Alligator mississippiensis: one gene and its partners. The protein of the gene in region 3 binds, or shares a complex with, the protein of the main gene of each other region. Links are inferred from orthologs where the notes say so. Each region holds a gene or a part of one and is shown on either strand. Other genes may lie near its edges. The genes, in order: PRIM1, POLA1, PRIM2 and POLA2.

Region 1 (7,353 bases), on a different chromosome or scaffold from region 3:
GGGCACCCTCCCTAACAACAGGGCAATAATTAACTGCCCCGGACTCCTTCATCACTCCCAGCTCCAGTGGCCACTTATTAATGAGGTTGCAGCCTTGTGCATGGGGCTTTCTATGGGAGGGAGAACAGTGTCCCAGCCAGCAAGGGCAATACGGCCTAGCCTGGTATCAAGGAGAGATCCAAGTGGGGCTTGTGCTGCAGACAGTAACAACCCCGTATCCCTACCATTCCCCACACACATCAGTTAGGAGCTCACGCATGACCTGCGTTAGCCTCTGTATTACCAGACCGTGAGATGTGACCCTGGCGTTTGCTGCTCTTCAGGGAACACGGAAAATCAGGCTTCCTCGGGGGAAGGAGTCCTTGCCCTCTTGGCCTGGCAGGCAGACTGGATTCAGTGGGGCAGTTCCTTTATTGTGGGCGCTGCTGTGAGCGGGATGCTGTGGCGCCAGGCAAACGGGACCGGGAGATATGCCCTGCCCCACTGAGCTTACAGTCTAGGAGCGAGAGCAGGTGGGCGCCAGCAGGCAGGTGGCAGAGGGAGCCCCAGGAAACACAGCGTAGCTTGGTACAGATGCAGGGCAGCGGGGGGCAGACCAGGCTGCAGCCTGGCGCAGAGCTCATACGTCCCATGCCGCAGCCCCTCGGGGGAAGACACAGCCCCTGTCCAACGTGCCCACTCACACCACTGCTGCAGCTTTGTTGCAGAGGCTGCGGGGAGAATCGGTCCCCTGGAGCTGGGGCCTTTTGGGCCACGAACGGGCTGGGCTGGTTCTGCATGACCTTGGACATCACTGGGGTCCCCAGCATTGCACAAGCTCCCCACTGCTTGGCTGTGTTTATTCCCCAGGCAGCTCCTAGAAGCCACCGTGCGGGTCCCCGTTTCAGGAGCTGCCCTGAGCTCTCCCTTTCTCCCTGTTGCAGAACAAGCCCAGGGGAACCAGAGCTGCTACCTGAGCCCGAGCACCAGGGCCCTGCCCAGCCCCGGAGCGACAGAGTCCCACCTACCCCAGTGCAGTAAGTCCCCCATACTCAGCTGCTCTGCCTGTCTCAGCATGGCTAGCAAGCGTCCTGCAGTGCCCCTGGGAACTCCTCCGGGTTTTCTTTGCACACTAACTGCTTGTTAATCACTTGTTACCCCCTCCCCACAAGTGTCTGCAGGGTTTGGTCAGAAGCATTAAGCCGAGGAACCCGGTCCCTGGCTGTAGGGAGTGAGGGGCTTAGCTCTGCTAAGTGGGGGACACAGCTCCGATGCCACCCACCTCTCAGACTCCCCCTACCTCCTATTATGCAGCCTGGGCTGGTTTGGGCAAGACCAGGTCAGCACCAGGTCGGCCACAGCCGTGGGCATGTAGGAGAGGGGGATGAAGAAGAACTGGGCGTCCCAGCCGCCGGAGTAGCGGGTGCGGGGGTGCTGGGCGGTCAGCGCGTGCTCCACGCAGTCGGTGACCAGGGGTAGGTTGGAGCTGCACCCCTTCTGCAGCTTCTCCTGGGACAGCCTGTAGACTGAGCAGAGCCAGGGTGGGGGGTCAGCCCGGGGCAGAGCCTTGGGCATGGGCAGGCACGTGCCCGAGTCTGCAGACAGCCTGTGGCCAGGGTCTGAGCAGGCTGGCAACATGCAGTCACTTCTCTCCCACCCACATGTACACAGACACGCTGCAGGGGCACTCAGCACGCAACACTCACACCCAGCCGTGTTCTGCTATGGCTTCCCCCAGGTCACTGCCGCAGGGCTCCTGGGAAGAGCTGCATCCTGCTAAATGAGGGTGAGCCCTCCAGCAGTGCTCACTGCGAACCGGCCCATGCAGCCTCGGGGAGGCATGACGTAGCATGATCTGGCGTGTTGTATGTAGCCGGCAAAGGGGGCTGTTTGGATCCTGCCATGCACACATGGTTCCTTTAAGGGGTGCTCGCTGCTTCAGGAGAAGAGGCCCTGGCTGCAGGGCGGTGGAGACAGCAGGGAGCAGACCACAGACAATGTGCTGGCCCCTCTATTGCCTCTGGAAGCACCCCCTCCCCGCTGACTCCCCTCGCCCCGAAGAGGACAGAACAGTGCTCACGGGTCTCGAAGTACTGCTGCCCGTAGCTCTCCCGGACCTCCGGCGAGGCACACTGCCATGCCTGCTTCAGGCAGCCCAGGTTGTTCTCAATGTGTGTCATGGGCGTGTGGAAGTAGCCCGGCTCCACCATTGCCACCTTCACCCCGAAGGACCAGAGCTCGTGCCTGGGACAGAGGCAGCCGTCACGCCTCGCCACAGCCCCACAAATGCCTCCCGTCCCACGCCGTGGCCCGAGGGGCAGCCCGTGGCCCCGCATTACCTGAGTGAGTCGGAGAAGGCCTCCACACCGTACTTGGAAGGGCAGTAGCCACCACCACAGAAGGCCAGTCTGCCCAGGATGCTGGCCACGTTGACAACGCGGCCCCGGGCTCTGCGCACCAGGGGCAGCAGGCTCAGCGTCACCTCGATCAGCCCCACCAGGTTCACGTCCAGCACCCTGACGAAGTCAGCCTTGCTCAGCCACTCGTTGGGGGCCACTGGCAGCACCACCCCGGCATTGTTCACCAGGCCCCAGAGCCCTGCGGGGTGAGGGCAGGGAGTGAGCCTGGGCAGAGATGGGACGGGAGACTCCCCCACTCGGGCACGAATCCCAGTGCCGCCAACATCCTGGCCCTGGGCTTACTGCTGAACAGACCCTCTGAGACCCTCCTCTGCCCTCAATGTAGCGCTTTCGCCCTATGATGTGGCTCCACGCCAGAGTCCAGACCCCCCATCGCTCCCCTCCAAAGTGGGACACAGCACCCAGGAGTCCTCGCTCCCTTCTGCCGGCAGCTCCTTTCCCCGTTGCCCCCACAGAGCCCCTCCTGTTGGAGCTCAGAGCTGCCCCGGAAAAGGCAGGAGGAAACACAGAGGATTTTCTCCCTGCACCCCAGTGTCACCCACCCCGGACTCGGGATGCATCGTGCCAGGGATACAGCAGCCTCACCTCGGTCCCCCACCTGCCCCTTCACCCAGGCAGTGGCCGCGGCAATGCTGTCGGAGCGAGTGACATCCAGGATCACCGTCTGCAGCCTCCCCGACGTCGCCTGCCGCAGCCGCTCGGCCCCCTGCTCCGTCAGACACGCCGCCAGCACCCGCAGCCCCCGCCCGTCCAGCTGCTTGGCCAGCAGGTGCCCGAAGCCGGAGTCGCAGCCCGTGATGAAGACATGTTTGTCCGGGAGGTTCCCGACCGTCTGCCGCTCCCGGTACCATCGGCACAGGAGGTACAGCGCCAGCAGGGCCACCAGGTACAGCCACATCTTCACAGGCGTGGGGGAACAGCCACCTGAGGTCAGAGCTGTGTCCAAATGCGACCACCTCTGGGGAGGTTTCCAGCAGCTCCTCGCAAGTCATCAATAGCTGGGTGCCTGTCAGCCTGGGAGGAGCTGGCCCAGTCAGGCAGTTGCAATTCAGCACTGGACTTTTACCCACTATGGAGGAAAATATTGTTATTCCCTTCCTTCCCCAGCCTCGCTCATGGCCAAGAGACCAGCTGCAAGCTCTGGAGCAGGCATGGGGCATGGGGACCTGGCACCCACCTTTACCCCAGGGTACAAGTGTGCCCCTTGGCAGTAACACAGGGCAGCTCACCGCTGGTAATCTGTATCTCGGCTTGCCCCGGGGATCCCTGCCCCTTCCCGTGCCCATCCCCTGGATGATCCTAGTTCTGGTCACGCCAGCTTTGGGCTCAAGATCACTCCTGCTTTTCCCTTTGGGGTCACCCCTGACGCTGGGATGTCTGGGGGAAACCAGACAGAACTGGGGCCTCCCCACCCCCCCCCCACTTACCTGCCCTAGCTGCCTCCAGCCTGGAGCTGCCCAGGGCAGGGGTGGTTGATGCCTGTGCGAGACCACCCCAGGTACGGCCTGGATGCAAACCCCCCATGCTCCCCCACCTGCCCCCTGTGCCACTTGGCTCCGGCTCCAACGCTTTTCCACAAAGCCACTCATCTGGTGGCGGGGACACTGTCCTGAGGGCTGCTTGGCTGGTGGCGGGGTCACGGCACTGCCCTGGGTGATCATTAATCGCCCTGGAGGTCAGCAGGTCCTGCCTAGGGCCGGCTCTACCCGCGGCCTCGGGGCCAGGGATTCATGGGGGCTGGAGGGCAGCAGCTCCTGGGGTCGGTCCCGCGGCCCTGCCCCACGCTGCACGTGGGGCCGGGATCAGGGCGGTGCCCGGCGCTGCGCGGGGGCGGAGCGGTGCTCGGCGCTGCACGTGGGGCCGGGATCAGGGCGGTGCCCGGCGCTGCGCGGGGGCGGGGCGGGGCGGGGCGGGGCTCGGCGCTGCACGTGGGGCCGGGCCCGGACTACAGCTCCCAGCCGCCCGGGCCGGGGCCGGTTTCGCGCGCGCCGCCGCCGGGGCCATGGCGGGGTTCGAGCCGAGCGCCCTGCCCGAGCTGCTGCCGCTCTACTATCGCCGCCTCTTCCCGCACGGGCCCTACGGCCGCTGGCTCGGCTACGGAGGCGGTGAGTGCGGGGCTGCGGGCCGGGCCGGGGCGGGAGAGCGGGGCCGGGGACCCGGGCACCGAGCCGGCGGCTCCCCCCGCAGTGGAGAAGAACTACTTCGCCCGCCGCGAGTTCTCGTTCACGCTGCGCGACGACATCTACGTGCGGTACCAGAGCTTCGAGCACCCGCAGGACCTGGAGAAGGAGCTGCAGAAAACCTGCCCCTACAAGGTGGACATCGGGGCGGTGTACTCGCACCGGGTGAGTTGGGGCACGGGGCTGCCTGAGCTGGCATGGCGCGCTGCCCTGGCCCCGTCTGCGCTGGCAGAGCCCGGGCGTCGCGGTCTCTCCCCGTGTCGGCGCCCGGCGGAGAACCCGGAGTCGGAGGCCTGGGTTGCAGCAGGGGTCACGGGGCAGGCGTTCAGCTCCAAGGCAGCCGGGCGGGGGCTACATCTGCCCCCAGAAGCCAGACGGCTCCGTGGGGGACGTGCGGGGTGCGGAGCGGCGGCCCCCGGCGCTGACCTGTCGCTCCCGGCCCAGCCGAGTCAGCACAACGCACTGCGCTCGGGGGCCTTCCAGGCCCAGGAGAAGGAGCTGGTGTTCGACATCGACATGACCGACTACGATGACGTCCGCGGGTGCTGCAGGTACTCGCCGGGGCCTGGAGGCCGTGGGGGTGGGTCAGCACTGGTGTGTCCAAAGCCAGTGCCATCCCCATGGCCTCCCTCCCTGCAGCTCGGCCGAGATCTGCTCCAAGTGCTGGACCCTCATGACCATCGCCATCCGCGTCCTCGACCGAGCACTTGTGGGCAAGTACCCATCCGTCAGGGTCCGGGGGGTGCAGCACCGTGGTTCCTGGTTGTATCAGGGTAGTTGTGGCGGCTGCAGGAACCCAGTTGCCCAGTTGGGGCTCTCAGCACCGCTGTCCTGGGCCCAGCCTTGCTTACTGCAGGACTGGGGGCTGCGGGTCTGGAGTTAGGGGCACCAGAAGGGCTGTCCGGGAGGGGGGCAAGGGCTGCAGGTTGGGAGTCCGGGAGTGAGGGGCAATGGTCAGACTGGGGGGTGCTCCTCCCCCCCAGCAGGCCCTGCCTGACCCCACACCTTGTGCCCCACAGAGGACCTGGGGGTGCAGCACCGCCTCTGGGTGTACTCGGGCCGGCGCGGCGTGCACTGCTGGGTGTGCGACGACACTGTGCGCAAGTGGTCCTCCTCGCTGCGCTCCTCCATCGTCGACTACCTCAGCCTGGTCAAGGTGCGGCAGGGGGTCTCCTGGGGGCTGCATCTGACCCCAGTCCCCCATTGCAGCTGCTCCAGGCAGGCCAGGTGCTGGGAGCTGTCGCCTGGCACCCGGGCCTGGGGCAGATTTGCTCCATCCTGACCATCTCCTCTTGCTCCCCGCCCAGGGTGGGGCTGACACTGTCAAGAAGGTGAATCTCTCTGACCCTGTGCACCCCTTCATCAGGTTAGTGCCCCCCCATGAAGCCCCTTGACAGGCCCTAGTCGTGGGCCTGATTCACCCCAGTGCCAGGACCACTCTGCCCTGTGCTGGCAGCTCCCTCCTGCCTGACCTGGGTGCCGCTCCACCCCCGGGGACCAGGCGTAGTAGACAAGCTTGTTGGGAACAAGGCAGCAGGGATCCAAAGAGACCCGTTCCTCTCTGGAGGGCAGTAGCTCCCTTATGGCCTCCCCTCAACCAGGGTGGGGGTGCCCCCAAGGGACCCCTATTGGTACCCCCCACAGCTGGAAATGTCCCCGCAGTCCCAAAGTAGGCACAGACTTGGCCAGGGGAGGGTCCCAGCGTCCTGGGAGCGGAGGGCCGCAGGCATGGCCTCCAGGGAGCCAACCCCACCATCCCGTCTGCTTCTCCCCAGCAAGTCGCTGCGCCTGGTGGAGGAGCGCTTTGAGGAGTATGCACTGCTGGGGCAGGACATCCTGGGCAGCCGTGAGAGCTGGGACAAGGTGCTGGCCCTCGTCCCAGAGCATATCCTTCTGCCCAGCTCCAGCTGCCTTTCACTTTGCCTGGGGAAGGGGCTGGCAGCGGTGGGGGCTTGCATGTTTAGGGCCAGAGAAGCATGCAGGGGAGAGCTTGTGCCCGTGCTTGTGTGCACATGCTCACGTGTTGACACATGCTGCATTACAGGCTCTACATCTGTGTCCATCTAGTGCTTCGGTGCAGACCTCCGTGCTTCCACGCATGGTTGAGGGGGTGGGGGGTCCATGCAATGTTGTCAGTCCTTAGCTGGTGCCCACCCCTGCGCGAGCAGCTGCAGCAGGATTTTCCCCGGAAGCGTGACTCGGTGCAGCGCTGGGCCCGGCTAAAAGCCCTCGTCGAGAAGTCCAGGGTGAGAAGCTGGGGGGCAGGGGGCACTGGGAGGCTGTTGAGGGGGGCAGGCCACTGCTGGGTGCAGGGGGAATTCAACTGTCCTTGTTTCCCCGCCCCCACAGCAGTCCTCAAGCAGCTCGAAGAAGCTGCCATCCTACGCAGAGAAGGAAATCATGCTGCAGTTCTGTTTCCCACGCCTGGACGGCAACGTCAGCAAGGGCCTCAACCACCTGCTCAAGAGCCCCTTCAGTGTCCACCCCAAGACAGGTACAGCCCAGGGGAAGGGACCCCCAGGGCAGGGAGTGGACCCTGGTGAGCCTGGACATGATGTGGACTTTGCCCCCGGCAGGTCGCATTTCAGTCCCTATCGATGTTCAGCGGCTGGACCAGTTCGACCCCTTCGCCGTCCCCACCATCAGGTAGCTGTGGGTCACTAGCCCCTCTAGGCTGCTCTGCCCAGCCCCGAGCGGGCCACCCCAGCAGCAGAGTGGCCTTAGGGGCTTCTGGTCAGTCCCCTCCTACTCTCTGGAGTACCTTGTACCAGGTT
Region 2 (7,572 bases), about 260 Mb from region 3:
CCCAATTCTTCCCTCTCCTCTGAAGTTGAGCCAAGGGTTTGTGGAAGCTTCAAGCTAACACAAGACACTAAGGGTTTTAGAGCTCCTCACTTCCTACTGGAAGATTAATGCCTGTCTCCTGCTCCAACAGACTGAAATCCAAGGGAGATCCAAGGGAACTGTGGAATGGCTGTAACCTGGGTCACCTAGCCATTATGCTCCTTCCCTGTGTGAGGTAAGCCTGCCACCATGATGGAGCAGATGACCCCACATAGTACCCTTAAAAGCCAGCCTCTGGGACCTTTAAGGGTGGCTTGATGGGTTATTAGGTCCCTCACAGTGGCAACAGAGAGGATAAGCCTGTACAGCAAGCACCCTTAGGGGTCACTGTCATCTGCTCTGTACAACAGAATCACACTGTTGAGATTATCCAGTTTAAATTTTATGATTCTTTTTCAGAGACAAAAGGCTGACAAACAGAACAATAGGGTAGACAGACCAGAAATTCATGCCGGTAAAGCAATATGTAGTAAAAGGCAAAAGACTTATAAATGTTCTATCACAAAAGGTCCAGATTCAGTAAACAGATCCCATTAGTAGAGACTCGTTCATGTTAGACGAGCTCCAACGAGATGAAGTTTTCTGCAGGCAAGCTAGCACGAGACTTGCCCTAATCCACGTTATAGGTCCAACACCCTAGCTAAAAGTTAAATGTGACTTGTCCCCCACTACCTGAAAAGTCCATCCAAGGGCAAGGAGAGAAAACTGTAAAAACATTCATATTGAAACAATTATTCCCACCAGAACTTGGGTACACAAGTATGCATGCACAGTATGAAATGTTTTCTGACAATCCAGTATGTAGTCAAATAAGATACAAGACTACACTGGTCTCCGAACTAGAATGCAAATTTTTTGACGAAGGATGAGACTGGCAACTTGTATGAACTACATCAGGGTACCTTCTAAGTGGTCAGGAACTGCACCAGTGGGGACCACATGCTGTGGGAGCCACGGGCCCTATGCTGTACATGCATGGGTGCTCCCCCATGCACACAACACCTGTACAGGTGTCCTCCAGCCCCACTCCCCTGCTCCCTACTGCACTGCACACGGTACCCTGCTTCACCTGCAGCTACACAACCAAAGGACTGCCCCACTGCACCATGCCCCCCGGGGAACTCTGGGTCTTCAACTCCCCCAGCACTATGGACTGCCCCTCTGGGGCTGGGCCAAGCAGCAGAAATCAGAGGAGGGAGCAGGAGCACTGCAGCTAGAAAAATAAAGGAAGCAGTGGCCAGGTGAATCACAGGTTAACCAATCACAGGCCACATGCAGCCCACAGGCTGCCAGTTGGCCAGTCCTGAATTAACATCAAGACCATCAGCTCTGTCATTTCTCACTTACAAACCTTGACCACCTGCTTAATTTTCAACAGGACTGATTTTGATTTGTGTTGCCCAAAACACTGGCCCTGCTTGTAGTATGTGCACTAAGATGAGACTGCTGGAACTGGGTGGGAGACACCATTAACTTAGCAAGCTGCTGCAATTATGAAGCTACAGAAAGTGTCAGAAAAATCGTGTGATGTAGCATGCATGTGCTTCAGCACCAGTTACTTTGCAGCAGCTTGGAGGAAAGCATGGAATGAAACCACCATTCGGAATAAACACCTAATTTCCAACCCAACAACAAAGCCTCCTGGTTTTGACCTTCTGTGGAAAATATGGAAGGCTGTAAATCGGATCTGAGCTGGAAATGGCCACTGCAGTCACCTGATGCACAAACGGGATATTAGGAGTTTTGCAAAATATGATTGTGGCAATCCTGATCAAACTATGGACCACATAACACTGCCCTCTATACAAATTTGACAGCAGCATTGTAGATGCATTCCCTTTCCTCAAGTGCATTAGATTGTTTAACTAACCTTAAACTGGTCTTATAATTGTTGCTCCAAGTCAGCCATGTGAAAGAAAAAAGCAGACTTTGCATATGCAGAGCTTTTTTTTTTCCCCTCCAAGCAAACCCACAGGAGATTCCCAACCCCTGGGCTGCTCTGATTCTACAGGAGGAAGAGGAAGAAATCCAGGGCTAAGGGAAGTGATGCTGCCAAGGCAGCCAGGAGCCTCAGCCCCACTGCACCAGCACCCACATGGGACACTCACGCAAGCTGCTATTCTGTTACCTGTGCCCACACAAATGAGGGGACAGGAGGGAGGTGTGTGCATGTGTGTCTGTGCGCACGCATGCATCTGTCTGTACGTGCCTGCGCATGCATGCCTGCATCTGAGTGCACATGTGCCTCTGTGTCCATTTGTGCATACCTACATGTGAATGGGTGCCTGCAGGTGCACACGCCAGTCTCATTGCACATGCACCTCTGTGTCTGTGTATGTGCGCACATGCCTACATACACATGCACACCTGCCCAGGTGTGTGCCCACCTCCATGCCTGTCTCACGTGTGCCCCCACATGTGTGCACATGCGGGAATATATGCATGAGCACACGTCTGGACGCATGTCTATGCATGTGCACACGTCTGCCTGAGGTATGTGTCCATGCGGTGCGCGCCTGTCTGGGGGAGTGTATCTGTGCCTGCGGTCACCTGCATCTATGCGAGCCCCTGCCTACCCCCACAAGTGACGCGTTGTGCAACCCCTCCCAACCGGCTCGGGGGCAAGGGAGAGCATGCAAGGAGGAAGAAGCACCAGGTTTCAAGGCCATGGAAGGGCTCCCACCCAGAAACGTGCAGGCGCCGCTGCAGCCCGTCCCACCCGCCCGCGCGCGCGGTGCAAGGCGATTGGGAGAGGGAGAGGGGGAAGCCGTGCGCGAGCTCCCGCCAAGGGTTCGCCGCTCTCACCCGCGCGGCCGACCCCGCTCTCGGCCATGACGTCGCCCGGCGTCCCGCGCGGCAAAGCGCCTGAAAGTGGCGCGAGAGGCCTCCCCAGCGCCCCGGCCGGCCCGCCAGCCAATCACGAGCCGCGGAGACTCAGTCAGGCCGCAGCCGCCGCCGCCGCCGCCGGCCCGCCCCGAGGTCGAGGGGGAGGAGCTGGAGGGGCGCGCGGGCGCGTTCGGAGCTGCGGGGAAATGCTGTGTTTCGCGGCTCCGCCGGGCGGGTACGGAGCGGCGCGCGCGGGCGGGCGGGCGGGGAATGGGAGGAGGAAAGTGGCTGCCACCGCCCGGGGGTGCCCGGGAGGGGAGGATCGTGCATTTACACGTATGTATACATGCATGTACACACACGTACTCCCACACGCATAGATATCACACGCACATGTAGGGGTGTGTGTGTATATATAATACACACATATACATATATATGTGTGTGTGTACATACATATATATACATATATTTGTGTGTGTGTGTGTATATATGTATGTATGTATATATACACATATCTATCTGCATGAGTGTACATGTGTGTAGCTGTACATGTAGGGGGTGTGGGTGTACATGTAGGGGATGTACACACACACACACCCTACATGTACAGCTACACACATGTACACCCACACACACACAGGTGTGTGTGTATTATATATACATACAAAAAACTAGAACTCTTGGTTCCAAAACGATACCTTTTTGTTAGACCAACTGGAAAATGGCAAAAAAATTGTCCTTTTCTGCAAGCTTTCGGGATCAAAGTCCCTTCATCAGGCTCTGGGAAAAGCGTAGATGGTACAAGATGGTAAAAAGTCCCCATAGGTAGGAAATAAATTTCATTTTTGCACAGAGGGAGCTGAAGATGGAAAGCTGTCCCTCTGGGTCCATGAGAGTGTCTTTGTGAGCTGTGCTGAGTAGCTCTTTGATGTGTTGATCAGGTAGAATTCCTTCCCTGGAGGTGTCAGATGGTAGGGAGGGAGGTAAAAAAAACCCGTTCTTGTTGTTCTGCAATGAAGTTTAAAATCCAAAATCAGCTAAAATTCAGCATCTTCTATGTTTCAGGGGTGTACTTGGTGTACACACACCTACATGTTCATGTGTGTATATATGTGTGTGCACATGAGTGTATGCGTGTGTGCACGCATGCGTGGAGGTGTAAGTGGCTGTCTGTGCACATGCATACACTCAGATGCATGCACACATATATACATGCGTGCACACATCTATATGTACAGCCACATACACCCTTCCATCCCCGACACAGATGGGCTGGAGTGGCACAGGTGCTAAAGCACGGGGTTAATAGCCCAGAGTTTGGAAGTTTGAGGCCATAGCAGAAGTGCACTTAGCGCAGCCCTGTGAGGTACCAACGAATCTGCAACTTCCACCAAATATCTTGTCACACAAGAACCCGAAAAAAGGAAAGGACACACACACACCACATACACCCCCACACATACATGTGTATAACAAAACATACACATCCCCCCACAGACACATACAGATATGTACATATACATATACATCCAAATATCCATACCCCACATACACACACATTTTTATATATGTATATACACAGACACACATGTATACACACACGTGTGTATGTGGGGTATTTATGTGCGCACACACATATATACACATATACAGTGCTTGGAATAGCAGAGACTTGGTGGGAGCTCGCATGACTGGAGCACTGTCATGGATGGGCACAAACTGTTCAGGAAGGACAGGCGGGGGAGAAAAGGAGAAGTTGCACTTTATGTAAAGGACCCATATGATAGCTCAGAGTTCCTGTATGAAACTGGAAACAGGCCTGTTGAAAGTCTCTGGGTTAGGGTCAGAGGGAAGAGCAACAAAGGGGATGTTGACCACCAGACCCGGCAAAGGTTTTTAAGACCCAGGTAGACAAAGCCTTGGTTGGGTTGATCTAGTTGGGGATGGTCCTGCTTTGAGCAGAGGATTGGACTAGATGACCTCCTGAGATCCCTTCCAACCCTCAGTTTCTATGATTCATTGTATATCCACATACACATCACACAGGAATCTACACAGACATGTATACCCACATACACACACATGTACACCCACACAACTGACCAGACATCACATGTTAGCTTCTGGCAGGCAAAGAGCCCAAATGGGAGGACAATTTTTTTTGGTAGCAGTAGAATAAGGTGAACTCTAGAGAGTAGAATAAGGGGAACTCTGTTTGGGAGACCTTTCTGAAAGAGGCCCAAACTCTGCTAGCAACACCCAGTTTTGCATTCCAGGATCTCACATCCCAAGCAGTGAAATACACTGACATTTCCTGGAGAAGCCTCCCCAGATAGAGGTGCCCCCCAAACACAGGGACACCCAGAATCACAATGGCATTCTGTTTTTCTAGCAGTTGCTGTACTATGCTTCTCAGATATAAGATTTAAAAAGGAAACCTGAAGACTACAAGTGAGAGAGGAACAGTAGAAAAAAAACCCTGATCTTCCCCAGTTCACTCTCTCTTTTGGCATCCATTCTCTGCCACTGTGTGACAGGCCTATTTGATGTTCATTGGGAGCACAGGGCCAGTGCCCATCAAGTAAAGCTAAAAGCCCCCCTTAATCTAGGGTTCCGCTAAGGCTAGAGACAGGTATTCAAAAAGCCTGAGCCTGAATTGATTCAATCAATTAGCCTTTTACGACCAGGTAACACACTGCCTTGACAGTGGAGCTGAGGCAGATGTCATCTACCTGGACTTTAAGAAGGCCTTCGATAGTTTTGCATCCTATTCTCATAAGGAAGCTAGCAAGCTGTGGAGTAGATGCTTACACAGTCAGGTGGGTGGCAAACTGGCTTAGGGACCGCACCCAGAGAGTGGTGGTAGATGAGTTATTTTTGGCCTGGAAGGAGGTGGGCAGTGGTATCCCGCAGGGTTCAATCCTTGGACTGGTGTTATTTAATATCTTTATCAGCAATTTGGACAAGGGTGTGGAGAGCACTCTGTCTAAGTTCACAGATGACACCAAGTTATGGAGCAAAGTTAACACACCAGAGGGCAGGGAGCGGATACAGGCCGATCTGGACAGGTTGGATCAATGGGCAAAACGAAACAGGATGCAATTCAACAAAGACAAATGCAAGGTGCTCCACCTAGGGAGGAGGAATCCCCAGCACACGTATAGGTTGAGGGATGACCTCCTCAGCAGCTCAGCGGCTGAAAGGGATCTTGGACTCATAGTTGACTCCAAGATGAACATGAGCCGGCAGTGTAATGAAGTCATCAACAAAGCCAATCGGACCTTATTGTGCATTAGCAGATGCATAACTAACAGACCAAGGGAGGTGATGCTCCCACTCTATGTGGCATTGGTCAGGCCACAGTTGGAATACTGTGTCCAGTTTTGGGCGCCGCACTTCAAGAGAGATGCAGAGAATCTGGAGAGGGTCCAGAGGAGGGCCACTCACATGATTAGTGACCTCCGTACAACACCCTACAAAGGGAGGTTGAGGGATCTGGATCTCTTCAGCCTTCACAAGAGACATCTGAGGGGAGACGTTGTAACAGCCTATAAGTTTATCAAGGGAGGACAACAGAGAATTGGTGATGCGCTATTTACCAGCGCACCCCTAGGAATAACTAGGAATAATGGATACACACTAGTGGAAAGTAAATTCAAGTTAGACATTAGGAAGAAATTTTTCACAGTAAGGGTGGCCAGAATTTGGAACAGGCTGCCAAGAGAGGTGGTACTGTCACCTAACTTGGAGGTCTTCAAGAGGAGGCTAGACAGGCACCTGGCTAGGGGCATCTGACCTCGGTCCTCTTTCCCGCCAGGGGCAGGGGCTCGGACACAATGATCCTTCGGGGTCCCTTCTGACTCTACAATCTATGAATCTATGAATCTTTGCAGGTTAATCTAACATGGCTAGGCCGAACTGGTTTGAAACTGGACAGACATGCTCTCTGGACTGAGGAAATTCAGGCACATGCCTTCAGTGGCTCAAGCTAGAAGCTGGGGGGGAGCTAGAGCAGCACTCCCTTCCCTTCTGCAGGGAGCTGAGCTGAGAGGTTGTGGCCAGGCCCCAGCAGGATGCTCTCATTAGGGACGTCTTTCTGCATAGTCCCAGGCTTTTCCCCATTGACTCCTCAAGAGGCGGGAGTATTACCAACCCCCAGCCCGGGCTAGCACTCTGAGGCAAGGGGGAGTGTGCAGTGCATGCATCTGTTGATCCGTTTTCAATCTCTCTCCCTGCTTCATCATACTGTCTGCAGCAAACTGACAGGAGAGCAAGCGGGGTGGTGGCAGGGACAGGGGCTAATAACAGTCTTTACCACCCAATTAGCAAAACAATAGCCTCTCTCCACATTACTTCAAACTTCTTAAACAGCTTACTGGCTGACCTGTTGATTAGCTCCAAAAGCCCATATTCTGTCTGCCTATCCCAGTGAAATTGGAGAGAGACACACATACAAACACCTCTCAGCACTAGCTAGCATACCACATGCTGGCTACAGTCCCTGCTGTGGCAAAGAGGAGGAAGGGATCTCTGCTTAGGCAGTGAGTGGTGAGGGGGGGTGGAGCGGGGCATGGGGAAGTCAGCAGACCCTGCTGTGCCTGCAAGGTTGTGCTGAGCTCCAGCCAGGGAGCAAAGGGGAGGGGCCAGCCCTGCTGTGGAGCAGAGAGCCCTGCCCAGCCCAGAGAGCATGTCGGGATGCTGGGG
Region 3 (7,614 bases):
CTAAGCTGACAAGGCAGGCACTGCTGGATGAGTCAAACTGCCTAGCCCCTCTTCTCTTTTCAAGCTGAGCTGAGTGGGCAGTCAGTAGCACCTACAGTCAGGTGAGGGCCTGATCTTATTAGAGCCAAACTGTTCACTCCTTGAGTGGGTGAGCTCTCAGCTGACTCAGTCAGTGCAGCTGACTGTTCCTCTGCCTCAGCTTGAGAAGAAAGAGGACTCAGGAAGTTCAGCTCAGCCAACAGTGCCTGCCACATCCTGCAGCAAGGTAGTTAACAGAGCAGCCACAGGTTTTTGCTCACCCCCACCTCCATCCCAAATCCAGCTGCCAGTGTCTTCCCTGCAAAAATACCATACTTACAGCACTTTCAAGGGAAAGCCTCTTTTTCTTCATTCTGCCTTTCAAAAATAAGGTGCATGGGTATGGTATGTAAGACACACAGTATTTAGAGAGTGACCTGTCTAATACTGGGAACAATAGTCAAAAGCACTCAACCCTGACTATCAATGAGTACATAATAGGCCAATGAAGAAGACTAATCAATCCTGAATGCTTTTTAAAGAAACACACTGAATTGGTACATAATAATTGTGGTGATATCTATTTATGCTTCACCTGTGTATAAAAATAATTATCCTCCAGTTTTCATCCTGCACATCACACTTCAAATATGAAATTTTTCTTGACCAAGTTTGTAAACTGAGAAACTGAGACCGCATCTTTGCTTTTCTTTGACTCGGGTAGTCTCTTAATGACCAGCCATCACACGTTAGTTTTAGCGACATGCTAGAAATTAAAATACATACTAACTCAAAAACACACTTACGATTGACAATAAGCAAGACGCAGTATGAAATGAGAGATATGGTCTTTCCTCCTTGCATCGTAATCATCTTCAGCCAAAGCCTGTAATTTTCATAAAAGAGGACATGCATCAGCTTAAAGCAGAAAATTAAACTTTAAAAAAGTTAATTAAATGCTAAACCTCAACTTTCACATCACATAACTCAAAGATATTTATCCTTAAATACTTCGTAAACTGTAACACAGGTGACTGGGGGGGGGGGAGGACAAGAGGCATGCCCCCTCCCTGAGATTGGCCCCCCTACTTGGCACCATGCAGGACAGGGCAGTTTTTTTGCCATGTGGGCCGGTGGCATGTTGGGGGGAGGCACTAAGCCACAGCACAGTATAAGAGTGGATATGAGGCTTTTGGCCCACCCCTGGGTCCACTCACAAATTGTGCCCCACTCCCCAAACTTGGGAGGCACCAGTCACCCCTGGTAACACAAGGTATTAATTACTACAGTAGCTATCCTTTTGCTACTACTGCTACATGAAAACAGCAAGTTAGAATTTATTCTTCATATTACAAAGCCCTACAGACTGCAGAGCATTATCTTGCAGACTCTAGTTGCACTAACTTCAGTACAAATGAAAGATTCCAGACTGACCCAATTAAGTAAGAACAAAAACTGTATTTAAATTATACAGGAAAAAAAAGGAAAACTTGCGTGTATAAAATTGGTTGAATTCTCAAATGTAGTGCGCAGCATATAAATTCTTTAAGTGTATTATTATTCACAACTAGCAAATTTCCCATCAAGAATGACCGGGGCAGGCAGGGACTGAGCCCCATGTCCCACCCCGCTCCTCATCCCGGCCCACTCCACCCTGGCCTCACACCCATCTTCTCTGTCCCCTCCATCATGGCATCAGCACTCTGGTTGACACTTCCTGTACTGAATGCTCTTGGAGCACTCTGATTGGTTATTTCAGACAACCAATCTGAGTGCAAATAACCCGTTACAGACAGACAGACTAAGGCTGTTTTTTATATATATATATATTTTCCACAGGAGATACAATGTGGACACAAAGGTAGGAAAGGTTCTTGTTCCAATTACTTACTTTAAATGGAAATTTAAGTTTTCGAAGTTCATATTCCAGCTTGCTTTTATAGTCATCAGTACCTTTCAGGTATTTCACACCAAGATTCTCAACTACTTTGAGTACTAAAGTAATTTAAAAATAAAAACCACAAACAAAAAGCAGTATGAGCACCTAGTATAACATAGAACAGAAATCTAATTATTGTTTTAAAGAAAGAGAAGAGGGAGGGGGGAAGGCAGGCCAGCCCAGCATTCTACCCAATTTTGGTTTTGTTGAAATGTGACAGTATTGAAGCACAGAAAATTTGGGTTGGGAAGGACCTCAGGAGATCATCTAGTCCAGCTTTTCTCAACCCATGGGTAGCATGAATATATGAAAAGGTTGCAAACAAATGTTAAAACTGGATTCTCCTTCAACCAAGAAACACATGAGAAATGGTGAGTTTTCCCTTGCAAGGGGCTGCTTGGCCCCCCACCTGGGGGCTGGGGCTTGGGGGTCCTGAGTGCATCAGCAGGACCAGGGGGCTGTTTTCTACTTCAGCTACTCACTGGGTGGGGACTGGCCATCCATGTTTACAAATGGGGCTTGGTACAAAAAAAGTTGAGACCCACTGATACAGTCCAATGCCCGGCTCAAAACAGGACCACCCCCAACCAGATAACCCCAGCTAAGGCTTTATCTCCCAGGTCTTAAAAACCATTTGAGGCAGGGAAGGAGGGAGACAAGTGTTTCACATTCACCTACCCCACCCCCCGTACCAGTTTTAGGTCAGGGCTGCTCAACTCCTGACCGGCGGGGCCCCAGCCCCGGCCGGGACCCTGCTGCCCCAACCACCAGGGCTGACAGGGGCCCCAGGCGGCAAGCGAGGCCCTGCCGATGCTGGGCAAAGCACCAGAGCCCCTCCCGCCCCGACGTGCGCTGCTGGCCCGCAGCCGCCCCGGGCCACTCACGGCGCAGGCGGTCCACGGCAAAGCTCTCGAACTCGGCGAGCGAGACGCTCTCGGCCGGCGGCGCCAGATAGAACTGCAGGCTGTGCGGGTAACGCCCGCGCCCGCCCGCCCGCGCCGCCCGCCGCCGGCCCCGCGCGCTCGAGAACTCCATGCCCGCCCGCCCCGACAGCAACAACTGCGCCGGCTTCCCGCGCGCGCCGCCAGGCCCGCCCCGCTTCCGCGTCACGCGCCCCTGACTCCGCCCCCCGGCTGGGCAGCCCGCCCTTGGCTCCGCCCCTCCCGCGCCCCTGCTGCTAGCCCCGCCCCCAACCTGTCCCGGCGGGGCGCCTGCTCCGCCTCCAGCTCCACCCTCGGGCTCCTTTGACTCCGCCTCGCTGGGTTGGCTGACCGCGCGGAACGCGTGGGCCGCGCCATGGAAGGGTGGGACGGGGAGGAGCAAGGGGCGAGACGAGCCTTTTTGTCTACAAGCAAAATGGCGGCGCCCGCCGCACACAGCGACACGGTCCGCCCACGGCTTGTCTAGCGCGCTAGCGGAGACTATGCTTCCTTCTCCCGCGCCCTCCGGGGCAAAGCCGCCTGCGCGGCCCCCGGCTCGGAGAACCGGCAGGAGCTGCCGTACTACTTCTCCGTCGCGGGAAAATGAGTGCAAATGAAGGGCCGAGGGGATGCCAAGGTTGAAAACCGCTGGGCGAAGAGAGCTGGTGCAAGTGCTGGATGCAGACAGCAGTCCCACGAGCGTGTAGGCCAAGCAGAGGCAGTGTGCAACAGGGGTGCCCCAGCCAAAGGGGGCAGCAACCGGCAACATGCGTGTGGAAACGTAGCCTAGCCAGGTTGAATTACACTCCTGCTTTGAGGGGTCTGCAGGCAGTGGCACCTGAGCTGCTTCGAAAGGCGCTGGGTGGGGGAGTCTCATCTCTTATAGGGGGACTCAGTCATCCCCCTCCCCCATATTTCAAACCCTGATCCTAGCCTAGGCCTGCCCTCCCCTGCAGGAAGACCTGCAACTTCTACAGGCAGATCTGTGGCTCAAGGACTGGACCCACGATAGAGATCATCCTCCACTCAAGGGATTGCCAACAACATTGGCAATGCATAGAGGGTGCATGTACACCCCTGAGATTGGTGGTGCACCGCCGCCGACATCTGTGGGTGCTTGCTGATCACTGCCACCGATGCTGCTGGCGGCAGCGTCACTGACCACTGTGCTGCCCCCCCGCCCGCCATCGATGCTGCTGTGGCTGCCTGTGGGAGCTCCCTGCTCGCCACCACCACGCCCCCACCATTGCCACCACCTGCAGGTGGTCACTGTGCACCCCCCCCCAGCCCAGCCTTGGGAGGGCACATGTCGTTCATGGCCCACAATCTCTAAAATAATAAATGTTGGATGCACTGCACGTGTGAACTGCTGGGTCCTCTCCTGCTCCTTTCCCAGCACCTGCTTTCTACACTTCTCTGTCACACCTCACTTTAACCAGCTTCCTTAACACAGCAAATGATCAAGGAAGGGGTGCATGGAAAGCCAGAGCTGCAGCCTGAACCACGTTCACAGAGCATGGCAACCTTTGCATGCTCCAAAGACAATTTGTATATCTGAATGCGCTAGCTCTGGAAACCAGGACCAGGAGCCTGATGGCCAGTAGATAAACTGTAAAGCAACTCTCAGTTCTGTGCACATGACAGTGTAGCCACAAACTGCTCTCGTTCAAATACTAAAGGGTGATTTTTGTTTAATGTTCTGATTCGTAAATAAATGAGGCTGGAAAACTTTTGAAGTCAGTATCTTATCTCGCTTCTCACTCCAGCAGTGTCAGAAATTATATTTTTCATTATAAAATCTAAGAATACAAACCAGTTCTAGAATATATATATTTTTTTTTTAAATACGTTCTCTTTATTTTGAAAGGGTTGCAGTGTCAGAACCTATTAACAGGTCCATGCATTGAACTCAGGGGCAACCAGCACGGTTTCATTAGGGACAGGTCATGTCAGACCAACCTGACTGCCTTTTACGATCAGGTCACAAAAGCATTGTGATTCAGGTGTCGCCGTGGATGTAGTCTTTCTGGACTTCAGCAAGGCCTTTGACACTGTCTCTCACCCCATCCTCATTAAAAAACTAGGCGACTGTGGCATCAAGGTCTACATGGTCAGATGGATTGCTAATTGGCAAAAGGGTCATACTCAGAGGGTGGTGGTGGACGGGTCATATTTGACCTGGGGGGAAGTGGGCAGCGGAGTCCCCCAGGGCTCGGTCCTTGGGCCCGCACTGTTCAATTTCTTTATCAGCGATTTGGATGATGGGGTGAAAAGCAACCTGTTCAAATTTGCTGATGATACCAAAATTTGGGGTGAGGTGGGCACACTAGTAGGGAGGGAAAGACTGCAGAAAGACCTGGATAGGTTGCAAGGGTGAGCTAACAAAAACAGGATGTGTTTCAATATGGACAAGTGCAGGGTGCTGCACTTGGGCAGTAGTAACCGGCAACACACTTATAAGATAGTAAACTCCCTTCTTGAGATCACGGAGGCGGAAAGGGATCTTGGAGTCATCATTGACTCCAAGATGAACATGGGCCGACAATGCGAGGTCACGGTCTGCAGGGCTAACCGAACCCTATCGTGCATCCACAGGTGCATCTCAAGTAGGTCCAAGGAGGTGATCCTCCCACTCTACGCGACACTGGTCAGGCCACAGCTGGAGTACTGTGTCCAGTTCTGGGCACCCCACTTCAAGAGGGATGTGGACAACATTGAGAGGGTCCAGAGGAGGGCCACCCGCATGATCTGGGGACAGCAGGGCAGACCCTACAATAAGAGGCTATGGGACCTGAACCTGTTCAGCCTTCACAAGAGAAGGCTGAGGGGGGACCTGGTGACTGTCTATAAACTCACTAGGGGTGACCAGAAGGGTTTGGGGGAGACCTTGTTTCCTTTAGCGCCCCCCGGGATAACAAGGAATAACGGCCACAAGTTGTTGGAGAGTAGGTTTAGATTAGACATCTGTAGGAACTACTTCACAGGGCGGCTAGGATCTGGAACCAACTTCCAAGGGAAGTGGTGCTGGCTCCTACCCTGGGGGTCTTTAAGAAGCGGCTCGATGCCTACCTGGCTGGGGTCACCTGAGCCCAGTTTCCTCCTGCCCAGGCAGGGGTTGGACTTGAAGATCTACAAGGTCCCTTCTGACCCTACTTCTATGATTCTATGAACATGGGGGCATTCCATTGCTCAGGGAATTTCTCTTTCTGAATTTTATCTTTGAGAATGAAATGTTGTTTAACAGGTATTGGTGCTTTGGGAGCAATACATATATTAGCTTAAGCTTACCTAAATATTGTATTTTTAAACAAAGAGGCGTTAATGCTCATTTTACATACCTCTACTCAAGTAATCTAATGTGTGTTGCATATGTTGTTGCCAAGCCCACAGCTAACCATTGCTGTTACTGTCATAATGCACAACACTACCAGCTGAGGTTGACAGGAAGAGCTGACTACCTGTGATGTGTCTCAACAAGTTACTAGCTCTGCATTGTTCTCGGAGGCCAGTGAAGGTTGGGGAAATGGTCAAACTAGACAGTCTCATGATGTTTCAGGCAAAGTTCCACCCCAAATATATTTTGCCACATACCTTTGCTTACTTCGTGCAAGAGACGAGGATTTGTTAGGGTGATATCATTTACTGGACCAACTATGTAGCTGAGATGAAGTTAGACAAGCTTCTGAATGCAAGACCTTCTATGTGAGAAGCAAAAGACCTCACAAAATTTTTGGGCCATCACCACTACAATATCAGTCTTACCTTACCACACGCTTAACTTACTGCTTCATTCAAATGTCCGGAGTGGTACTGAGTCAAAACAAGGATATCCTGAAGCTTCTGACTTGCAGACAGTCTACAGCCTCATATGCCACCACTTCCCTACTACCACCACACTGCTGTTAGTGTCCTAGCTTTGCAGGCTGAATGGAATTGCTTGGTGAACCAGATTTGACCCCCAGGCCTTAAGTTGCTGTTCTAGACACTTACCACTTACCCATACTACTGCCTGTGTTTGTGTTGGCTTCGTTATCCAGTCTACAGTTATCCAGTCTACAGTAATATTTGATAGCAGCAAAGAGAAAACATAGCTCAGTTTCACATCTTTTTTGAACTGCTCTAGTTTCTGGTAATTGGTCCTTACAAAATATTTTATCCCTGCAGAAGACCTTGATGATGTTGATAACTTCAGTTAGGATTCCACAGGACTGAAGGATGTTCAACTATGTATGTCTGTGCAGGTTGTCTAATGCCTTTTAAAAATCAATGAAAGAAGAGATAAAGAAGTCTGTCATTCTGTGCATTCTTTGATACTGCTTAGGCCCTTGGTAGATGTTACATTTATCACACACCAAATTGTAACATGCTACACATTCAACAAATTTATTGTACCATAAAAATGTGAGACATTTAGACCCGGCTACGTATTATAAATATTACATGCTTAACTGTTTAACTGCACAATACACTTAGACCCGTTACACATGCAAAGTAATGATAACATGCTAAAAATGACTATCCAGCTACACAAAGAGCCAACCAACTATAAAGTTAATGCTTGAGAATGTGTAACTCTGTAGCTAGTTTCTACCCAGCTTTAATTTGAACTTGTAGTAGGGCCCTTCATGTGGAGCATATTTGTGGTGGGTTTGTAGGGCACTTTAATTGGAAACGTGGCGTGTTCAGTCTTGCTTGCAGCCTCGTATATAGCTGCAGGCACCTTTCTAGCTTTGCCCT
Region 4 (7,653 bases), on a different chromosome or scaffold from region 3:
GTCTCTGGGTTCATCCTGCAAATCATGTTTGCACACCTAATGAAGCTAACGTTGCACAGCACCCCGCAGCACCCTTGAAAGGCTCTCAAGGCACCCTGCTGCATTCACTTTTTCTCCTCACAAGCCCAGCCTTTTTGAGCCTTGGCTAAAAGCTTTCAAACTTTCTGGGCCTCAAAATTCTCCAGTGGGCACCACGCACCCTTCCCATCAGCCTTGTCAAAGAGCTGTGGGGAGAGCATGCTGTGTAAGCTGTGCATCAGTCTCTTGGACCACAGTTTGGGAAAGACACAGTCCTTGCCAACACAACCCAAAAGGCACCTTCCATTAGGTGCTTAGCTTAGGATCATAGGAAAGTCAGGCTGAATGAGACCTCACCCAGCCTCTAGTCCAGTCCCCTGCCCGAGGAAGGATCATCCCCAATTACACCATCCCGGACAAGTGTTCATCCAGCCTGCTCCTGGAGATCTCCAAGGATGGAGCCTCCACCACTTTAGGTGCCTGTACCAATGTTTCACCACCCTCAGTCATAGAATCACAGAAAGTGAGGGTGGGAAGGGACCTCAGGTCACATCTAGTTCAACCCCCTGCTCCAAGCAGGACCAGCCCCAACTAGAGCATCCCAGACAAGACTGTCTACCCGAGTCATAAAAACCTCCAAACATCCCACAACCACTCTGGGGAGCCTGTTTCAGTGTTTTGCTACCCTCTTAGTGAGTAAGTTCTTCCTAATATCTAACCTAAACTTCCCTTCCTGCAGCTTGAGCCCATTGCTCCTTGTTCTGTCATCTGCCACTGCTGAGAACAGTCCAGCTCCAGCCTCTTTGGACACCCCTGAAGGGAGCTGAAGGCTTCTATTAAATCCCCCTCAGTCTTCTCTTCTCCAGACTAAATAAGCCCAGTTCCCTCAGCCTCTCCTCACCAGTCATGTCCCCCAGTCCCTAAACCATTTCACTGTCCTCCACTGGACTCTCTCCAATTTGTCCACATCCTTGCTGTGGTGGGGGCCCACAGCTGGACACAGGACTCCAGATGTGGCCTCCCCAGTGCTGAACAGAGGGGAAGAATCACTGCCCTTGCCATGCTGGCAACGCTCCTACCAATGCAGCCCAGGATGCCGTTAGCCTTCATGGCAACAAGGGCACACTGCTGGCTCCTGTTCAGCTTCTTGTCCCCTGTCACCCCCAGGTCCTTTTCTGCAGAGCTGCTGCCTAGTCAGTCACCCCCAGCCTGTCTTGGTGCATGGGATTGCTCTAACAGAAGTGCAGGACTTTGCACTTGTTCTTGTTGAACCTCTGGAGATTCCTTTTGGTCCAATCCTCCAATTTGTCAAGGTCACTGAATCCTAGCTCTACCCTGCAAGTGCATCTACTTTCCCCTCCCCCACCGCTTGGTTTCATCTGCAAACCTGCTGAGGAAGCACTGCATCCCATCTTCCAGGTTGTTGAAGAAGACACTCAACAAAACCAGCCCCAGGACCAACCCCTGGGGCACTCGATACTGGCTGCCAACTAGACATCGAGCCATTGATTACTACTCTCCGAGATCAATGGTCCTGCCAGTTTTCTAACCACCTTACAGTCCATTCATCCAGCCCACACTTCCTTAGCTTGCCTGTGCGTATGTTGTGGGAGACCAGATTAAGAGCCTTACTAAAATCAGGGTACACCACATCCACTGGTCTCCGCACATCCACAGAGCAGTCACCTCGTCAGAGAAGGCAATCAGGTTGGTCAGGCAGGACTTCCCCCTGGTGAATCCATGCTGACTGCTCCTAAACACCTTCTTCTCCTCCAAGTGCTTAGGAATGGATTCCTTGAGGATCTGCTCCATGATTTTTCCAGGGACTGAGGTGAGGCTCACAGGTCTGTAGTTCCCTGGATCCTCCTTTTTCCCTTTCTTAAATATGGGCACTATGTTTGCCCTTTTCCAATCACCCGGGACCTCTCCTGAGCCGCGAGTTTTGAATGACAGCCACTGGCTCTGCAGTCACATCAGCCAACTCCCTCAGCACCCTCGGGTGCATCCCATCTGGCCCCTGGACTTGCATACATCCAGATTTTCTAAATAGTCCCTAACCTGTTCAGGAAGCCCCTCCTAATCTCCAGCCTCAATGTCTCCTGCTGCAGCTTGAGGCCATTACTCCTAGTCCTGTCCCCTGTGGCCACGGAGAAAAGCCCGTCTCCATCTTCTCCGTCATGGCCCTCCAGGTTCTGACAGACTGCGATTAGACCCTGCCCGTCCTCACCAGTCCTGTCTCCCGGCCTCTCATCATTTCGGTCACCCGGGTCTGGACTCTTTCCATTCTGCCCCCTCCCCTCCGTTTTAAAGGGCAGGACCCCGAACTGGACGCGGGACTCCAGGAGAGCCTTCCCCGTTGCTGAACAGAGTAGAAGAATCAGCCTTCAGGGATGAGAAGCCTGCGAGCCAGCCTCCCCTCGCCCTCACCCTCACCTCGTGTTCAAAGATGGTCAGGAAATCCAAAGTGAGAAGTGCGCGGTGCTCTTTGCTTGTAGAGAAGGCGATTAGCTCGTTAGCCAAGTCCCCCGCGGTCAGCCTGTGCGTGGCGCACAGCTCCACCACTGCAAGGAGAGAGGTGTTAAAGGCCCTGGGCACGGAGGAGCTCGCACAGGACTAGCGGGCAGACGCCACACCGCGGCCAAGGGGGTTGGGACAGAGACGAAGAAGATCCAGTGACTCTTCCATGCCCTTCGTTGCAGATCCCGGCCCGCTCTGGCCCCCACGCTCTCCAACGCCTGGCACTTCCAGGCACCTCTGCCCCCCACGCCCCACCCTGAGCCCCCCAGCCCACTTCCGGTACCCCAACCCTCCGGGGTCCGGCCCCCCGCACTCACGCTTCCCAGGCACCTCGTCCCCCTCGCAGCGCAGCTCGAAGACACTCAGCTCGTCCAGCACCTCCTCGGCCGACACCGGCCCCATGGCGGCGCCGCGCCGCGCCGCGCCGGCCCGTCCGCGGGCGAAACACCCGCCACAGCACGTCACTTCCGCGCCGGGGGGCGGGGCTTCTCCCCCGGGACCGCCGACGGGGCTGTTTTGCGGAGCCAATCGGGGAAAAGAGGGCGCGGGGCGCGGCTTCCTCCGGGGAGCCAATGTAGGGGGTGTCGGGGTATTCGGAGGGGGCGTGGCTAGCGCGCGGTGGGCGGGGTCGCGCGGCGCCAACGGCTGCGGGCGCTCGGAGGGGCGGGGCGTTGCGAAAAGGCGGGAAGGCGTAGGGGAGGGGCAGTTGTGAGGGACCCCCTGAGGGGGCAGTTGGGCGAGGGTGTGTCCGGGGGAGGGGACAGTTGTATGAAGGGAAACGTGAGGAAAAGCGCGGGCTGGGGGCAGTTGTGAGGGGGGTGGGGCAGTTAGGGGGACGAGCCCCTGGCGGAGCTGGAGGGAAGCTGCGGGGTAGGGGCAGGTGTAGTGATGGCACCTGCTGGGAGGTGGCATTGCAGTGGGGCAGTCGGGGTCCAGCCCCTTGGTGGGGGGCAGTTACAACTGTTAACTCGCCTGTCGGGGCAGGTTCTTGTCTGCCGCCACCCGGTACCGGGACCAGAGGGCAGCTTGAAGAGAGGGGTGGATTTTCTGCAGTGGCTCTCTCCTCCCCCAGCAGGCTGCTCCCCTACCAGGAAGATTACTTGATGAATCCATTGACGAGCCACTGGTTTAAACATCCATGTCTTTCTACTATAAAGATCTGTTTTGGAGGCGAACACCGTCCGCGGCCTGTATTCCATCTGCGGACATGTCTTAATCCAGGTGCTCGAGGAGGCGAGGATTAAACCCACTTAAAAACAGCTTTTTGCTGCTTGAGCATGAAGAAATCTGTATAGTTTCAAGCGCGTGTTTGTGTCTCAAAATCCCACTTCTGAGGAACAGACGCGTGTGTATGTAGGGTGTCTAGAAAGTATTCGCATACAGGGCTGGACGCAGGCATAGGTGAACTGAGCGGCTGCCCAGATCCTGGACAGAAAATGATCTTTTAAAAATTATTGTTATCATTATCTCTGGCAAAGGGGGCCCTGACACTAAAAGCTCGCCCAGGGCCACCAGGACCCCAGGTACGGTGCTGTTTACATATAAGGAGCAATGTTTGATCTGGTCAGGCTCCAATAAAATTCAGATTCTCCTCTTAAATACTGAGCTGGAGTTCAGAAGAGGACAGCTGGGAAAGGGGGACAGCAAGTGCATCAGGAGAGACTAATGAAGCCGTGCACCTGCTTAACGCTGACAGCACAGACTGCAAAATACTGGATGTCTGTTCTGAGAAGGAAGTGCTGTCCAAGGGAGCCCTCTGGTGCAATGTAATGAGATGTGACAGGAGCAGAAGGACAGCAACAGACGTGGAACCACCATGAACAAGCAGAATTCAGTCACGGTGGATGGTGGAACAGATCCTGGTGGATCAAACAGGATGACAACAGCCTAATAAGCACAAGAGTCAGGGGGCATAAATTAAGCAGGAGACTCTCCCGAGACCTACCTCAGAGCTATGACCTGAAACGAAAACCAGATTGAAATTTCTCAGGTGGCCGATTGTCAGCAAGGCAAGGCGACAGGGGCGTTTCAGTAATAAACCTGTCTATCTGCCAAAAAAGGAGGACGTGCTGTCTGGTGGCAATATGAAATTACTTTCCTGACATACAGTCTCTTTTAGGCTGTTTCTTATCCCAGGCCAAGACTGGGTCACAACCTCAGTATTAAATAAAGGCCTTTCAAAGACTGGCAATGCTGCTTACCTGATCTGGGTATGATAATTTCTCAGAAAACACCACTAAAGGAGCTGGCAAGGCCCCCTTTGCCCAGGAGAACAGGGTGGTATGCAACATCCTGGTGCCTTACAAAGGCAATCCTGTCAAGACAAGACATAACATCAGCAGCAGACAAATATCAGTGCCTTCCTGCTGAATCAGCATTTATTTCAAAGGTTGTGGGGTTGCTTTTTTAGTGCAGGGTCTGGAAATATCACTCATCCAACCAAGGTGATTGGTCACTGAGATTACTATGCTTATAAGAGCACGGGACAGCAGCTTCTGGAGTTCCAAAAATTCATCCAGAAGAAATAAAAGAATGATGTCAAGCCTTGCTGTCTTCAGAAGGAAAGGTAAGACCCAGTTTTTTGTCACTGTTGCACCGCTGTAAACATTTCCTGTTGGTGTTTTGTGGATGCTCTCTGTTTTTGGAATGGGCTATGGGGAAAGACCATGAGTGCTCTAGACTAAATGAAAGGCTGGTTTTAGGTCTACTATGCTCTCCATTTTCATTCTGAACCCCTGCTTCCAAGCCTTGTCATCTCTGGGACAATTAATGACCTGAAAACTAAAGTTTCACTTAACCATACTGGCTAATTATTTGGCAATTAAGGTCAGGCTCACAAAAGCTTACATCTCTCTTAATTTAGTTACTTTACCAGGTGCCTCCCTATCCTGGTATCATCCACTTGTTAGGACTGAAAAGTCCTCGTTAGAGCAAGCAGGAGGTACTTTCAGCAGAAAAATGCTGGTTATACAACTGGCATGTGCTGGGAATCCATATCTTACCTACCTGTTAAAAAGTTTTGTAAAGTAGAAATTCTGCATGGAGATTAAAAGTACAAAGGAGCAGCTTTGTGTTTCAGCTGATACCAAGAATTTGAAGGAAGTGCAACGCAGGGCAGGGAGCTGGGGTTTCTGGAGTTGACTCTTGTCTACTGCTGAATGCAAAGTATGGGTGACCTCACTTACATTACACTCCCTGGAAACACAGAGGAAATACAACTCACATAAAGATTAAATGCTGTTTATAAAAGGCCGCGGTGATCCTGAAATGAAGGGTAGCAGAGAGCACAAGGTAATACAAGATTAAAAAAATATTGCACAAAGCTGTATTATTAAATGGTACAGGTTTCCCTTGTTTTGTGTTCCTGGAAAATGGTGCATAACTCGAATTCGCATGAAGGGAACCCACTTTACAATGTAACAAATAGTGATATGTTCCAAGACCTTGACTGTACTGACCCCTAGGCCCACTCCTACCACTTTTACAGGACAATTTTGGTACTCGCCAACAGCAGGGGCTTGCCTAACCCAGTCCCTGAGCAAGGGGGCGGAGGCAGCTCTGATTTTTCTATGATAAAAAACCAGGAGCAAATGCCAAACTGTTTAGATCTTTAGAATTTGTTTTATTATGATGATAAAGGCACTGGTAGGCTTCCAAATTGCCTTAAAACTGTGAATATATCAGTAAAACATTGCCTAAGTGATCTCTCTAGATATAGTGGCGTTTTATTTTAATTGTGAAAGAACACAGATTTTGAGTACTTTAATGAGAGAATTTGGGTGTTTTTATCAGAGAATTTGCGATTTTTAAACAGGGAAACCCAGGATTTCTGCTGGTGAGGCAAGTGGCGGGACCTGGGCAGAGGAGCCTGCCCAGGGCCAGCACAGGGACCCAACTGGAGGCCAGACAAGGTGGCTGTCCTCTTGGCCAATTGGGGCCGGAAGAACACGTGTTGATAGTTCAAAGTGGGCCACCGCAAGGAGCACATCTTCTGGGCAACAGTTGCCTAGATGGTAGAGTGGGGATACCACAAGACATGACAGTAGTGCCACCTGAAGGGCAGCTGTGTAGCCACAGCCCGCTGGCATCTGGCCCAGAGGTGCAGGTGGCTCTTCTACAGTGCCCATAGCACAGCCCAGGCAGCCGCACGGTCCCTGTCTGGGTCTGGCAGGCATGCAGCCATGGAGCCGCAGGTCCAAGGGGGCGGATGCTATCATAGGAGGCAGCAGGTCACAGCTGGGCAGCAGCCCCCACTGCCAGACTGCTGCAGTAGGTAGAGGGGTCAGGGGCCCATCTAGGTTAGGGCTGCTTCACCAGCCCAGCTGGCACAAGGGACTAGTGTCCCCAGATACCAACTGGCCAGGCCTCAGAAACTCCTGAGGACAAGTAGCCCTGAGTCGCTAGGGCAGCTTTTTATACTGCTGGGGCCAGCATGGGTGAGCCTCTAGTTCCCCTCTAGATGAAGATCCAGGAGGAGCTGGGCAGTTTGTCCTAAGTGGCATAATTTGCCCCACACCAAAGTGCATGTTCAGGCACGTGTGCTGAGGCACAAAAATCTCTGGCACAAATTTGCCCCGTTGCTATTTGAGCTGCTGCAGCTGCACGTACCTGCATATATGGACATGCTCTCTGGGTTTATCTGTTGAATTATGCCTGCACACTTAGCGTTAACATTGCATAGCATCCCACAGCACCCTTGAAATGAATGTTCAGGGCCCCCAGGGTGCCATGTCACCCAGGTTGAGAATCGCTGTTCTTGTCAAAGAGCCAGTTGGGTTGCATGACTGTTCGATCAGTCTGTCACCTTGGCACTGGCATCTACAAAATGTTCAGCTGTTGAAACTTATTTAACATTCTTACTTGGCAACAATATCCCAAATCCCCAGCCTCTGAAACTCAGATTTGTTTATGATTAATCTCTTTCTGAAGCTTCAATAAAATAAAACGTGCACAAAATGTTCGTTCTGTCACAAAAACGGCTTGTTCCAAATTAGCCCATTTTCTGTCTCCCAAGTTATTCACTGTGGGGGAGGAACTTCATCTGGTACCCGCTGTCACAGCTCAGCTGTAACTGTCTCAGCGTCTCATGATCTCAGGGAAGCTAGCACCATTCATACC

The links.
Region 1: the proteins of PRIM2 (region 3) and PRIM1 are in contact, whole or in part, in a crystal structure (PDB 5EXR), measured with the Homo sapiens proteins. The link is inferred for Alligator mississippiensis from reciprocal best matches to the Homo sapiens genes PRIM2 and PRIM1. Residues at the interface, in NP_000938.2 of Homo sapiens: Glu165, Ala168, Ser169, Pro171, Ser172, Phe188, Ala189, Leu192, Phe195, Arg196, Gly197, Arg198, Val200, Tyr201, Leu202, Glu203, Asp204, Gly205, Phe206; in NP_000937.1 of Homo sapiens: Lys147, Glu148, Asp149, Phe150, Gly151, Phe152, Ala180, Val181, Gly184, Ile185, Glu187, Tyr188, Ser190, Leu191, Lys193, Lys207, Ile208, His209, Pro210, Ile212, Arg213.
Region 2: the proteins of PRIM2 (region 3) and POLA1 are in contact, whole or in part, in a cryo-EM structure (PDB 8G9F), measured with the Xenopus laevis proteins. The link is inferred for Alligator mississippiensis from reciprocal best matches to the Homo sapiens genes PRIM2 and POLA1. Residues at the interface, in XP_018121015.1 of Xenopus laevis: Pro34, Pro35, Thr36, Glu37, Asn38, Ile39, Ser40, Leu41, Ile42, Phe44, Glu45, Ile49, Ile107, Phe110, Ile111, Leu114, Cys117, Gln118, Ser119, Glu120, Asp121, Arg123, Ala240, Arg241, Leu243, Val245, Val246, Gln247, Arg251, Leu252; in NP_001082055.1 of Xenopus laevis: Leu842, Lys853, Ile894, Pro895, Glu896, Leu971, His974, Arg977, Glu978, Leu981, His982, Glu985, Gln988, Lys989, Asn991, Glu993, Asn1007, Asn1009, Arg1101, Asp1102, Glu1106, Gln1109, Glu1221, Asp1224, Gly1225, Asp1227, Ala1229, Leu1230, Met1233, Trp1234.
Region 4: PRIM2 (region 3) and POLA2 share a complex: the UniProt entries of both Homo sapiens proteins name them as parts of the alpha DNA polymerase complex. The link is inferred for Alligator mississippiensis from reciprocal best matches to the Homo sapiens genes PRIM2 and POLA2.

The regions. Positions count from the first base shown.
Region 1 is NC_081838.1:6,989,131-6,996,483, reverse strand, and holds the start of PRIM1 (DNA primase small subunit), read left to right. Parts: upstream 1-4,342; 5' UTR 4,343-4,401; coding exon 4,402-4,504; intron 4,505-4,586; coding exon 4,587-4,744; intron 4,745-5,023; coding exon 5,024-5,130; intron 5,131-5,218; coding exon 5,219-5,292; intron 5,293-5,598; coding exon 5,599-5,735; intron 5,736-5,886; coding exon 5,887-5,945; intron 5,946-6,354; coding exon 6,355-6,464; intron 6,465-6,733; coding exon 6,734-6,825; intron 6,826-6,928; coding exon 6,929-7,073; intron 7,074-7,155; coding exon 7,156-7,225; intron 7,226-7,353. UniProt on the Homo sapiens protein: Catalytic subunit of the DNA primase complex and component of the DNA polymerase alpha complex (also known as the alpha DNA polymerase-primase complex - primosome/replisome) which play an essential role in the initiation of DNA synthesis.
Region 2 is NC_081824.1:315,569,792-315,577,363, forward strand, and holds the start of POLA1 (DNA polymerase alpha catalytic subunit), read right to left. Parts: upstream 3,008-7,572; 5' UTR 2,873-3,007; coding exon 2,845-2,872; intron 1-2,844. UniProt on the Homo sapiens protein: Catalytic subunit of the DNA polymerase alpha complex (also known as the alpha DNA polymerase-primase complex) which plays an essential role in the initiation of DNA synthesis.
Region 3 is NC_081824.1:51,528,137-51,535,750, reverse strand, and holds the start of PRIM2 (DNA primase large subunit), read right to left. Parts: upstream 3,008-7,614; 5' UTR 2,993-3,007; coding exon 2,842-2,992; intron 2,014-2,841; coding exon 1,910-2,013; intron 905-1,909; coding exon 825-904; intron 1-824. UniProt on the Homo sapiens protein: Regulatory subunit of the DNA primase complex and component of the DNA polymerase alpha complex (also known as the alpha DNA polymerase-primase complex) which play an essential role in the initiation of DNA synthesis.
Region 4 is NC_081838.1:4,021,850-4,029,502, reverse strand, and holds the start of POLA2 (DNA polymerase alpha subunit B), read right to left. Parts: upstream 3,009-7,653; 5' UTR 2,938-3,008; coding exon 2,853-2,937; intron 2,580-2,852; coding exon 2,452-2,579; intron 1-2,451. UniProt on the Homo sapiens protein: Accessory subunit of the DNA polymerase alpha complex (also known as the alpha DNA polymerase-primase complex) which plays an essential role in the initiation of DNA synthesis.